3 linked regions of the Oryzias latipes genome follow. The protein of the gene in region 3 binds, or shares a complex with, the protein of the main gene of each other region. Links are inferred from orthologs where the notes say so. Each region holds a gene or a part of one and is shown on either strand. Other genes may lie near its edges.

Region 1 (4,056 bases), on a different chromosome or scaffold from region 3:
GACAGCATACAAATGGCCAAATTCAGACATGCAGACAAGAAACAAGCCAGGCTGAACTTACCTCTAATTTCACTTCCATGATCACTTTTCTCTGTAAGGTCTTTGCAGAGTTGTATGCTATCAAGAAAAAAAAAAACAACAACAAATCTTTAGTAATCTAGAACATGGAAAAGAAATCCTGGAAAAAGCGAAAGAACTTCACTCTGAGTGATGGGATGAATAGACAGAAACGTAGTTGAAAACCAGCTTTGAAATGAGTTTTGATACATAATAGTAAAAGGCGAATACAGTTTATTAAAGGGCCTATACCACCTATTCTTAAGCCTTTTATAGCAAACAACGTCCATGTATGTGATAATATTTTACCTTTGTCATAAAAAAGAACAATTTTTTAATGAAATATTAGTTATTTTCCTGAGGTCGTTAACAACTGGGAAGTAAGACTACTCGATCTCTGAGGCACATGTGGGCGTTTCATGATGTCAACCTAGAGACGGCCTCGCAGCACGTCTGCGTCTAGCTCACAAAATTAACCAACATCCAAACTTTTGCAAAGATGGATGTGCATATTATGCATATAAAATGAAGATTTGCCAATCACCCTTAGCTCCACGGAGAAGTGTGTATGTGCGTTAGTCTGGGGCTGGGAGCGCAGATTCTTCCTGGAAGGGGCTATTCTTCACTTTTCTACGTCACAATGTGAGAACCCACTCATTTTCATGGGTGGGCAGGGGCTGGTGCTCAGAGTGCAGGTTTTTAAAGGAATACTCATATGTGTTAACGGATCACAAATACAGCTTTGGGGTTTCTTTCCGTGAGGAATGAACATTAAAATACACAAAAAAAAAATATTTTGCATGGTAAAGGCCCCAATGTGCTTTATAGTCCGATTCACACACACTGACGGTGGAGACGTCTTGCCAACCGCCAAACAGACCACCAGGAACAATATGGGGTAAGGTGTATTATCCAAGGACATTTTGACACATGGGCAGGCATGGGGGGAATCAAACCTGCAACCTTTTGATCAGAGGTCCACTGTTCTACCTCTGGGCCACAGATGCAATTTGAATCCAATTGTAAACCGCATTGTGTTGAGTAGATTGAAACCACAATCACTGATTCTGCATGTTTTAAACGACTTTCTACAAAACTGTGCCGTATTCTGTTTACTTTTACTTCAGATTATATTTTACCATTTCCAGAGCCCAAAAGCATTAAAAAGAAGAAAAGGGGGCTGAAATTTTCTAGATTCAAAAAAAGTGCAAGCTTTTAATTTTAATATATAAAAAAGTAAACATACTTTGAAACAAATATCTTACTTGCTTAAACCAGATGTCAGATAATTTGCTACAGAGTGGACATTAGTTAGTTTAAAGCAAGTTGAATTTGGTGAAAACACTAAATGACATTTAGTGAAACTTTAAACGGCATCTTGTGACAACCCAGAAACTTTCTTCTAATACCCTTTATCAGCTCCAAGCAGAGAAGCTAGTGCCTAAGTGTAAAGTGCAGGCTTTTTCCAGCCTGTGGGCCTATGCAGACTGAAGAACAGCTAACACTATGGGTGTGAGCCTAGAGTGCAAGTCTGTGTCTCGTGTGCGCGGACTAATTAAATAAACACATCATTCCCGTTTTGCTAAAGATTTCATTTGATTTATTACCCTATCTATTGTCCAATTCTTAACGTGTAGGGGCCTTTGTTGTTGCTGTGGTAAACACGATGGCCACGGTAACGGTGATATGTAAAATGGATGACTCTTATAAGCATGTAATCTGCTGGTACTATTCCTTAAAACGGATCCTAACTTTTAAGCTTTTATTTAACAAGAAAATAATAGCCCGCTGTGTTAACTAGCGCAAAACCTAGCTTAATTTCAGATTAGCTAACATCAAAGTTGTAAAGTTAGCCGCAGCATCTAAATTCAGAGACTGCATCTATTCAGGATTAATAATCAACATATACATTTACAATTGTCACGTGTATTTAAAGAGAAAACATAATAACACACTTTCCCTTCCCAATGTCATGGATTTCTGAATAAAATATATAAGAAACCAAAAAAAGGTGGCCGATATACGATAACACAACCAACACTGGAGCTAGCTAAACTTGATGCAACGTTGTTGTAAAATCCCTCGTTTCCCTCCACTTGATCAAGTATATCTAACAAGCAAGTCCCCAAACGTAATGCTGAAAATTGATTTATATACGTCTGTTATAAAGATGAGCAGTTATAAAGCTCTTTCCCCCGTCACTGATTATTTGGCTGGCTAACACGATGAGACGTGTTAGCTGAATGTATTCCAACTAGCTTAGCTTTGATAGCCGTAATGTTCGCAAAAACAGTTTGAACATCATCATGGTTTTCTCACAGGAAACGTAAACTAACAGACTTGAGCTTGTAGTGTTTTCTTTAACCTTTTACAGCTTAGCGTCAAGCGTTGCAGATGTGTATTTACAAGAGTTTAAAGTTAGCCGCACAAGCATTTTAACGTTGTTGCTAACACAGCTATGGCTAACACGGCTGAAGGACTGTCCTTCGCTTGTTGAAATGCTAGCTACTTCAATTTTGTTTTGTAAACACAAAGAAACGGCGCAATGCCGAGGACCGCATTTAATTAAAACATGTACTCACAACTCGTGTTTTCCAGACTTCTCCCAGTTTTTGATCCATTCACCAGAGATAATAAGTGTCGCCATCTTCCATACACACCGCCCGGATGTCTAGTTCATAATCATGGCACACACAGGGTCAAATGTGGGGATGAGCCGCCGTTGTTAGTGTTGCATGGCGGGATTCTGAGGGTTTGGTGCGGGTATCGGAGGACAGGCGTTATACTTGGGAACGCAGTTAAACATTTTCAACGTATTTTGTGTTGGAAAAAGAATCCAACGCAAATGCATTTTAAGATTACCGGTAATTAGGATAGTGTGAGAAAATAGCAGACCCACCCAAGACTAGCCTAACTGTCGGGATCAACATATATTAATTTCTCTAAAGGATTACCTAGAATTTATTACACGATTTTTCATTGATATATTTCATCTGGTCCTCATCCGATCCCTAAAATGATTCACAATTAAAGTTAACCTCAACTCAATGGTCATATTTGGCCTAAGTAACTTTTCTATAGAAACTAAACCTGATGAAATGCCAAAAGTGGGCTAAATTGTGTCTGAAATATGGCATAAACCAGACTAAATAAAGTAACTTCCTTTAAAAAATAAATAAATAATAGACCAACAATATTACAAACACTATGACAGACATTTCTAAATGAATCTGGAAAAATCAAACTGATTTACAATGGAAAAAATGGCTATGCTTTATTTAAAAATAGCTGGACTCTCATGCCAAAATGATAACACTTTTATAGAGGGTTTATTTGGCATGTGTTACAATATACATACAAAATATAAATGGAATAAGTGGACAAACGGCAAATAAGCACAGATTTAGCAGTTTAAACAAAGCAAACCAAACCAAACAAATCCAAAATGACATGTTGACATGCATTTCTACATGGATCATTGTTATTTGCCTAAGTATCCTTGTCTCGATTGTGCTAATTTTTAAGACTACATCTTCTCTCCAGTTTAATGATCTTTTTAATGAAATTAGCCTTTAATTGATAACAGAAATGAGAATACCATCCCATTATGTTGATTTCTGCTAACCAATTCAACACACAAATAAAAGTAATTCTCATATATCAAAAAGAAAAAAGTCAATACATTCATACTTGTAAATGAGTAAATCAATCTTCAATGAAAACATTTTTTTAAACAATACTTACACAAAGAGTAAAACCTCCAAATTAAAAGAAAAAACAAAAACGCACGGATTACAATATTTTACAGGTTTGAAGTCCTATCTTTTGCAGTTTTCACTATATAGTAGTCTAAAGACATGGGAGACTTTGGGGTCTACAATAAATATTTATAGATATTTTTATATGTAATATGTATGCAGCGACAGAAACTAAAAACTTTTAAGCAAAAAAATCCTCTGCCGAGCTCCAAAAAGTAATTTTTTTCAAAATTAAAAAATG
Region 2 (3,987 bases), on a different chromosome or scaffold from region 3:
TTAAACCTCTTTTTGAACAATGTCAGCATTCACAGCAAATCCAGTTTGAACACGTTTCATCTGTTTTGTGTTCACCCTGACCCCGCCTCGTGTCTCAGTCCATCCACGCCTGAGACCCGCTGGTGTTGGGTTCTTTCAGCCGGTGGCGTGTGTCAGCTGACCCTCTTTAAGAGCCAAGGTCAATGCTGTCAGTTTTTGTTCAGTATTGTTGTACTGTGATTGAATTTTTTTTTCTCTCACCACGAGAACTGCAACATAAATATAAAAAGGAACAAAATCTGTTTTACCTCTGTTGTGTGTAGTACTAAAACAGAAAAACTGCTTAAACTAGAATTTTATTTTTATTTTTTTTTGGTTAAACTCTCATTAATTGTTCAAACATTTCATACAAGCACCTGCATTCCTCTGTAAACCTCTCAGACTTGTAGATGGTTTTGATTCCTCAGTCCAGCCTGAATTTATTTTTTACAAACATGGCCTGGTCAGGTGAGTTAATAGTTTTGAAACCAATGTGTTAAACAATGAAGGTGACATTTTAGGCCTATCTGACATTTTAGATCTGTGAAGATCCACACCTGATGATTCATGGAAAATTAGGAAAAATAGTCTTTATTTATTTGCCACATGGATGTAGCAAATAATTTTTTCATCAGACAGTAATATAATTGTGTTTTATAGATGTGGTTGAAAAAAATACATGTTTTAGAAAGTTCCAGCATGATGTCAACTGATTTAAATGTAGCTGTTACTCAAATACATGAATGTGGATCCACTGCATAAACTGCTTCCATTATTCCTCCAGGTAAAGAAAATAAAAGAAGAAAATTAACTTCTAAAAAACATCCACAATCTATATGGCAAAGATAAGATAAAATGAACTGAGAACAAAGAAAACAGTGAGGAATGTCTACGAAAAAAGTATAAATAAGGATAAAAAATGTTAGTAAACACTTTTTATCTGAGGCTAAATTGAATAAGTATTATAAAATCGCATTTTAATCATGATTTTATATAATAAAAAGTTTGTTAAGGTCTTAACACGTCTTTTACATTTATTTTTACAAAATTTTGCGGCGATTTATTAATTTTTATTTTGAACAAAATCTCTACAAGTTTGTTTAAAATGCAGCAGGACCATCTGCACGGCGTTAATATGCCCGACAGGAGGCGCTGTGATCAATGACGTCGTTGTGATCAATGACGTCGTTGTTCAGGAGCACAGAGGAAGAAAAGCTCGACTCTGATTGGACGGCAGGAATACATCAACAGAGAAAGATGGCTGAAGTGGTGGAGCTCCAAAAGCTGAAGGTTGGTAGAATTAAAAATACGTTTTTCCTGACATTGGGTGAATTTCTTTGTGGTGGAAATGATGAAGTCAGTATTTACACCGGAACCAGCTAGCGGGGTGGCGGCGGGCTGCAGAAAATCGTGTTCTCCGGGTCTTAAGTCTACGAACCGGCATGTGTTCTGAGCTAATCCGGGCTAAAAGAACGACGAAGGAAACGCGGAGGGAAATGAACGGATAATCTGAGAAACTATCTTTCAACCCACCAGTAATAAAGTTCGACGTAAAACAATGAAAACAATCAGTTACAGCAAAAATCGAGAGGTGGGTAAATGGACCGAACCACAACCGCTGTTTGGAAAGACAAAATAAAAATGAGAGATTTTTTTTACTTAACTTAACTCAATCCTGCATTTCTGCTTTTCAAAGCAAATGTGATGAACGACCATTTTGAAAATAAGTAATCGTAACATACATATATATATATATATATATATATATATATATATGTATATATATAAAAGGAAAAATAAAATTCTAACAATGCACAAATTATTGTTATCAATTTAAACTGATTTAGTTCAACAGATGATGAAATCAGTTTATGTAGGTGCTTTCAGATCGTGGTAAATTTATCTTTAATAAAAAAGAACCGTCCTTTCGTTTACAGAGTTTTATGGAATAGTAAGAAGGTTACTGATGTGGAGATGGAAAAATATATATATATTTTTTTATAGTTTCAATTACACCAATATTTCCAAGCAGGTGTTGGCTGATCTATGTTTTACTTTTTTTGAATCACGTCAGTAAATTTTAAAACCAATTGTTAATTTGAGGTTTCATCTTCCCTTTCAGCTTGCTGAGCTGAGGCAAGAGTGTGACGCCCGCGGTCTGGAAACCAAGGGAAACAAGGGCGAGCTGATCGCTCGGCTCCAAGCCTACCTGGAGGAGCACGGTGAGAACCGGGTGACCCGTTTTTGCACATCAACCAAATGTTGTTTCCTGCCAGCTCATATTGTCTGTGTTGTCATCCAAACCACAGAGGACGATGTGGATGTTGATGAAGTTCTGGCAGAGGACACACCGGTAATGTCTTTTATTCTATCCGTTCTCTTCTAGTTTAGCAATAAAACAGAAACGTTCAATCAATGTTTGTTGAGAAAATCAATATTGATTTGTCAAATACACAAATCTATTCATTTTATTGATTACATTTCTTCAGGCAGACACAGCTCACACACAGTTTTTAGTTGAATAAACTCCAAATTTTATCATGAAATATTGTTCAGGTTTGTTTCTTCTGCTTGTTTGTTTCACAAAAGCAGTATGTCTGTTTTTTTTTCTTTTCTTTTTAGGAATTCACTAAAGTTGAGAGCTCCAACAGCATAAAGGAGGACAACCACACTGAAACAATCGCAATTCCAGAGTAAGTTAACTGTACAACAAATGTGCTTTTTCCTCTTTACCTTTCAGATTCCTCTTTGCGTGTGAATAAAGTTATCGTTTATCATTAACTATTATTGTAAGATAGTAACTTTTCAGGGAATTACAGTCGATGTTGCTCAGATGAGAACATCAAAAAAGAGTTCAGCTGGATCTGCTGGACTGTCATGTTCTTAGTTTTTTTTTTAATTTTTGAGAAAATAAATTCTACCTTCAGGTCTGAAGACAAGAAAGTGGTGAAAATCTCTCCTCCGTTGTCTGCTGGTGAAGTAAGTATGAGTCGTTTTCATTCACAAATAAACCTTGGTTTAGATTTTAGATCACGTCTGAGCTCTGAAATCTAATTTTAGAAGAGAAAAGCTTCAGAAAAACACTAGTTGACCTCAGACTTCACCTTTGTGCTCGTGTTTGCTCCTTTGGTTTGGTGTTTTTAGATTAAGTTTTGCTGAAATCTCACTTTGGGTAGATGCTAAAGCCAAACTGTTTAATACAAAAACATCTATTTTTCTGAAAAATAAAGCAAATCTTTCCTAAAAAGTGGAAAAACGAATCTGTAACTTAAATTTAACCAAATAAGAGCACAACCTAGTTATTTAAACTTAAATATTTTGCTTTTTTAAAGGACTCCATCCATTCATATTATTCATCATACTTGATGAATAATATGCTCTTACTCTGATAAGGACTGGATTATGGTGACTTTGCAAAAAAATAAATAACAATAGTGGTAGGATAACATCAGTGGCGGACCGTGCATTACACACCTGGGCCTTCAGTAGTGCAACGTCTGAATCACTCAACGCCTCATTAACCATATTATGATGCAGAAACTAGCTTTGCATTGCAGATTGAAAATTCCTGCAGCCACAATCAGTGCCTCTAAATACAGAAAACAGTAAACAAATCTTGTTATGCAACTACAGCCAGCACAAAACATTACCGCTACCATAACCACATCAATTAGGAATTTATTTATGATATTTAGATGTTCACTCATCAGAAGATGAGATTATTTGATGACAAAATCCACCCTCCTCTCTTTCCTCAAACAGTTCCATCATCCTGTCATGTAGATTATTGCTCTTCAGTTCCGTCAAGAAGTCATTTTCTGCTCGATCAAGGCCAGTGCTGAGAGCCCAGTCTGTCCATTTGTGTTGCTGCGTAGGTTTGAATTCACTTTAGATCCGAAAATGTCCGCTGGTCAGACGCAGTGAACACGGGGATGGTTGGTGCCAAACGCACAAATCTGTATGGCTGTT
Region 3 (4,148 bases):
ATATAAGTTAGAATAATGTACAGAGACCCAAAACCTTGACCGGTTGGATATGATGTGGACTCACTTCCACCATGCTGGCAAACTTGTCTCCATCAGGAGGGATTTCTTTCAGCAGCTACAAAACCAAAGAAAAGGCTTCCATCATCCCCTTTTCTTTGACTTTTCAAGACCTCAACAGTTTACATTCAAAACTATAAATTATAAAGTTCATAAATATAAAAAGATTTCCCCATTTTTCCTCCTCAACTGACCTGATAAACCAGTTTAGTCGTCTCTTCGATCCAGGTGGTCTGGTCGTCATTAAGGACACAGCTGGAGCTGCAGGATAAAGATGAAAAAGGATTCTATTTCCCCAACATGACGATGCAGATTTTTCAACGTCGAGTTACATTTGTGCTCAGGTTGAACCTTTTGAATTTGACCTGGCCCTTCAGGTACTGGAAGAGGATGAGGTACTGCAGCAGGATGTGGCGTCTGAAATTACTGTCGCTGAGCTGCAAGTCCATCAGCTGAAAGAAGGAGGAGAGGAACAACAGTCAGCAGTCAGATCCAGATCACAATTTACTCATGAAAAGTGCTTCTCCTGCATTATGCGGCTTAAAAACATAGACAAGCCCACCCTTTCCCCCCTCTGGTAACAGACCCATGACCCCACAAACATCTAATACTTTTAAAAATGACTTCTAACAGAAACGTATGCTGATAAAAGACAAAGTTTCCCACCTTCTCACTGGTGAGGAATTTGGCAAAGTAAACATGTTCTCCATCAGATCCTCTCAGCTCATCCAGCTTCCTCTTGGAGGCCTGCATGTCGTCCAGCTTGTAGCTCTTGAACACAGCTAGAGTCTCATCTGAGAACTGACCAGGAGGTTAGCTATGGTTCGCCACATGCATACGTCTGAAGTTCAGGAACTTTACCTTCAGGAACGTCATCCACAGAAACTTGTCATAGCACTGCACAGGATTCCTGAAGTAGTCCTGCAGCGTCCAAAACTTTCGGTACAAGTTGTAATCAATGGGAATGGAGCTGAAATCGACATTTTGATGAACAGCTTTTCAATCCGAGGAGCATTTGGTGTCAAGAGCAAATCAGAAGTTTGTACGAGGATCGGTAACATTTTACTACAAACCTCTGAGCAGGAGCATCCTCCTCCCCCATTTCTCCTTCTTCCACCTCCATGCCTTCTTCCTTTTCATTTGTGCTCTGGAAAAACATGAAAAAAAAACCGTCATCAGTCAACCCAAACTGTTGGAATCAATCCTCAGGTATAGAAAATCCACCTTTTGGCCAAGAGTGCTTTCTAGTTCATTTTTGTTGAAGACTGTTACATTTTCCAAATTAAACTGGCTCTGCAGGTTAAGACCTAGATGGGAAAAAAAACAAACAAACAAAAAATTCCAATCTAAGATGTCATCTTTGATGTCAACACCCAACAACTGAACAACAAACCCCCTGCTGGGGTCCTCACCTGACTTTTCTGACAGAGGGAAGAGGCGCGCAAGAAACAGCTGGATTCGCCCGCAGAATACCGTGTTCTGAGATTTGGAGAGTCTCCTCAAAAGATCTAAAGGGTCCGAAAAGTTCGTCACTCACTGCTCAAATTTGAAATGATGAATAACATTAGACATGGAGGAGATTTTACCGTTACACATCCTCAATAAATAGTTTTTTCCTGCACTGTAGAAGGAGTTCTGGAAAAAAGGAAAAATACTATTTAATATTACATGACAGATAGACCAATATTTCACATTTGGGGGGGTAAGTTATTTACAGATTTCCAAGTGGAGACGTTCTCTTCGACAAAAGAGAATATTTTGTCGCACAGATCGAGTGGAAGGCAGTCTAGTACGTCTCCCAGCAGGACGAAGGGCGTTGTAGCGGAGCAGATTCCTGCAAAAACAAGAAAACACCGAAGAAAAAAGGTTGAAGACGAGACTTTACACTGTTTTGATTTTAAGACTAACTTCTTTTGAAATAGAGTACCGTAAACGTCCCGGAAACACAACAGTTCCGAAACAAGAGTGGCTAAAATGGACTATTTCTGCTATATAAACATGAACAAGATATTAAAGTCAAAATAATAACAGCTAAAAAAAAAAGGGCCTGTTCATTTGTATTTAAATAAAAGACACGGTTCAACTTTCTGCATTAGCATCACACCTTCTGTGACCGCATCGATGCTCAAGTAGATGAGAGACAGGTAGTCATCACAGCTGGCCTTCTGCTCAACCTACAGAAGAAACGATCAGCCTTTAAGCTTTGCGTACAAATGCAGAACATTGGATAATTTTAAAGAAACAGCTTACAATCTGATCTCCAAGAACGCCCCTCAAAGCCTGATCAAGAGTTGTTTTCTTTTCCGTTTCACTGAAACACACGTCAATGATTCGTTATAGGTAAAAATTACAATTGATAACAAGTCGAAGTGATGTAGACTTACTTCCCAGGGATCTGGTTAAACGATGTGACCAAAGGTTTGCAGGTTTTACCCGTTAGGGCGTGTCTGGCAGCAACCTGAGGACGAAAATGTGAGAATAATACGAAAGAAAACGTCTCTCTTTTCAATACGTTAGCATTATGCTAACAGCTAATGTAGAAAAACAAAACAGAAAATTAATTTAAAAAAACTACTTAAGTTATCACCGTTCTGATCACATCCACCGTATATATATTTATGTGTTTGCATGCCTAATGATTAAAACTCATCCTGCAAACTCTCACCGTAAATTTGTCTTTAACATCGACAAAATTAAACAAGGACGGAGACATCTTTACTGCTGCAACAGGAAGTGCACCTAGAAGTACTTCCGGTCTTTCTGACCGCTCCCTCCCGTTATTTTTTTAAAAATTATTTTACAAAAATTACAAAATAAAATGTAGACATAAATACAATATATAATGCAAACGGAAAAAACATTTATTAAATATTTACATACATAATTGATGACAACTTTAGACGGTTTCCTAAAATTAATACTTAGGGCGACGTAAATACCACATTTGTACAGGTTTGCCAATCTCCACATTTGTAATTTTTCACTTTCTTTAATTCATGTGTTTAAAAAAAAATCATATTTGAAAAAAAACGTCATTGTGAACTTTTTAAAGCTTTTTTTTTTGCTTACAGATAATGATCAATTTTAAATTGTATTTTTAATACATAAAGTTCAGAATAAATGTTAAAAATGTAGTTCGCATTTGTTTCTATCTTTTGAGGAATACATCTTTGTTAGTTTTCTAACAAGGGATTTAGAAATTACACTGATGTGTTTTTTTGCCCTAAAACCACCAAATTGTGCTGCTGTTTGAAACATGTTTTTGAATAAAACTTTATCATACCGTCTTAACACGTGCTATAAAGTTGCGACAATGAGCCAAAGATCCGCGTGTGTTCGATAATTCTCATAATTTGACCTCAGAGTGAGATTGGGGGAAGCTGCCTCACTTCCACATTTGACCTCACGGGGGCAGTGTTGCACACTGTTCTTTCAACTACTGAACCCTTCATCCAGTTTGAAACAAAGCTACGTTTCATCTGCTGGTGACCGGTGTCACTGAATAATGGTGGGATAAATCAAATATTTTAGAAATTTGTAATCATTTGTGTATTCTTTCTCTTCTAAGCTGAAATAAAACTTTAACAATTGTTATTTTAATAAAGTAAATTTTAATTCAATTGCATTGCTGAAACATTAAATCCATTTTTAAACTGAATTGTACAGTTACAATTTTTTTATTTAGTTAGACCTGTGCACTAGGAAAAAGCTCAGTGTCATTCATACTTACATAGCACTGGTTTTGGAGAGGTCACGGTGTTCGATTAGTGTGGTCTATGTATGTCTGTCTGCACTGGGGAACATTTCTGCATGTTGTGGGCGTACATTACAGAGTACAGTGCTGCAGGGCTGGAATGCTTTGATGAAATCTACTGTTGAACAACGTCACATTGCACATTAGAAGCACTGGCCCATTACAGTGTGATGGCAATCATTTAACTTTGCACTTTGTAAAGTGGGTTTCACAGGACAAGACCTATAATTTGTGTCGACTGCAGACTTCATTTCCAAAGAAAAGAATTGCAACAGTAAAATACAAATATAATTTGTGTCTTGCAGGATCAAACAGGTTAATTTTTTCATGCTTGTAT

What was found.
Region 1: the proteins of thoc1 (region 3) and thoc2 are in contact, whole or in part, in a cryo-EM structure (PDB 7ZNL), measured with the Homo sapiens proteins. The link is inferred for Oryzias latipes from reciprocal best matches to the Homo sapiens genes THOC1 and THOC2. Residues at the interface, in NP_005122.2 of Homo sapiens: Asn134, Arg138, Asn141, Leu144, Arg145, Lys149, Thr153, Cys156, Gly157, Gln160, Leu161, Ala164, Arg165, Phe167, Gln242, Phe245, Arg246, Tyr297, Ala299, Lys300, Phe301, Arg319, His320, Leu323, Gln324, Ile327, Tyr331, Arg373, Phe374, Lys376; in NP_001075019.1 of Homo sapiens: Leu155, Phe156, Tyr157, Lys158, Gln160, Asn163, Leu164, Leu165, Arg166, Asn169, Glu170, Ala173, Lys174, Ile176, Ala177, Gly180, Gln181, Asn195, Lys197, Ser198, Leu199, Ile200, Gly201, Cys202, Phe203, Asn204, Leu205, Pro207, Asn208, Arg209.
Region 2: thoc1 (region 3) and sarnp share a complex: the UniProt entries of both Homo sapiens proteins name them as parts of the transcription/export (TREX) complex. The link is inferred for Oryzias latipes from reciprocal best matches to the Homo sapiens genes THOC1 and SARNP.

The regions. Positions count from the first base shown.
Region 1 is NC_019872.2:16,174,146-16,178,201, forward strand, and holds the start of thoc2 (THO complex subunit 2), read right to left. Parts: upstream 2,807-4,056; 5' UTR 2,705-2,806; coding exon 2,640-2,704; intron 118-2,639; coding exon 62-117; intron 1-61. UniProt on the Homo sapiens protein: Component of the THO subcomplex of the TREX complex which is thought to couple mRNA transcription, processing and nuclear export, and which specifically associates with spliced mRNA and not with unspliced pre-mRNA.
Region 2 is NC_019865.2:25,904,986-25,908,972, forward strand, and holds the start of sarnp (SAP domain-containing ribonucleoprotein), read left to right. Parts: upstream 1-1,181; 5' UTR 1,182-1,197; coding exon 1,198-1,308; intron 1,309-2,140; coding exon 2,141-2,240; intron 2,241-2,327; coding exon 2,328-2,371; intron 2,372-2,640; coding exon 2,641-2,711; intron 2,712-2,945; coding exon 2,946-2,997; intron 2,998-3,987. UniProt on the Homo sapiens protein: Binds both single-stranded and double-stranded DNA with higher affinity for the single-stranded form. Specifically binds to scaffold/matrix attachment region DNA. Also binds single-stranded RNA. Enhances RNA unwinding activity of DDX39A.
Region 3 is NC_019875.2:28,356,411-28,360,558, reverse strand, and holds the start of thoc1 (THO complex subunit 1), read right to left. Parts: upstream 2,807-4,148; 5' UTR 2,771-2,806; coding exon 2,723-2,770; intron 2,516-2,722; coding exon 2,442-2,515; intron 2,369-2,441; coding exon 2,308-2,368; intron 2,232-2,307; coding exon 2,162-2,231; intron 1,892-2,161; coding exon 1,773-1,891; intron 1,693-1,772; coding exon 1,644-1,692; intron 1,566-1,643; coding exon 1,470-1,565; intron 1,365-1,469; coding exon 1,282-1,364; intron 1,205-1,281; coding exon 1,131-1,204; intron 1,028-1,130; coding exon 919-1,027; intron 859-918; coding exon 724-858; intron 510-723; coding exon 409-509; intron 319-408; coding exon 252-318; intron 116-251; coding exon 65-115; intron 1-64. UniProt on the Homo sapiens protein: Component of the THO subcomplex of the TREX complex which is thought to couple mRNA transcription, processing and nuclear export, and which specifically associates with spliced mRNA and not with unspliced pre-mRNA.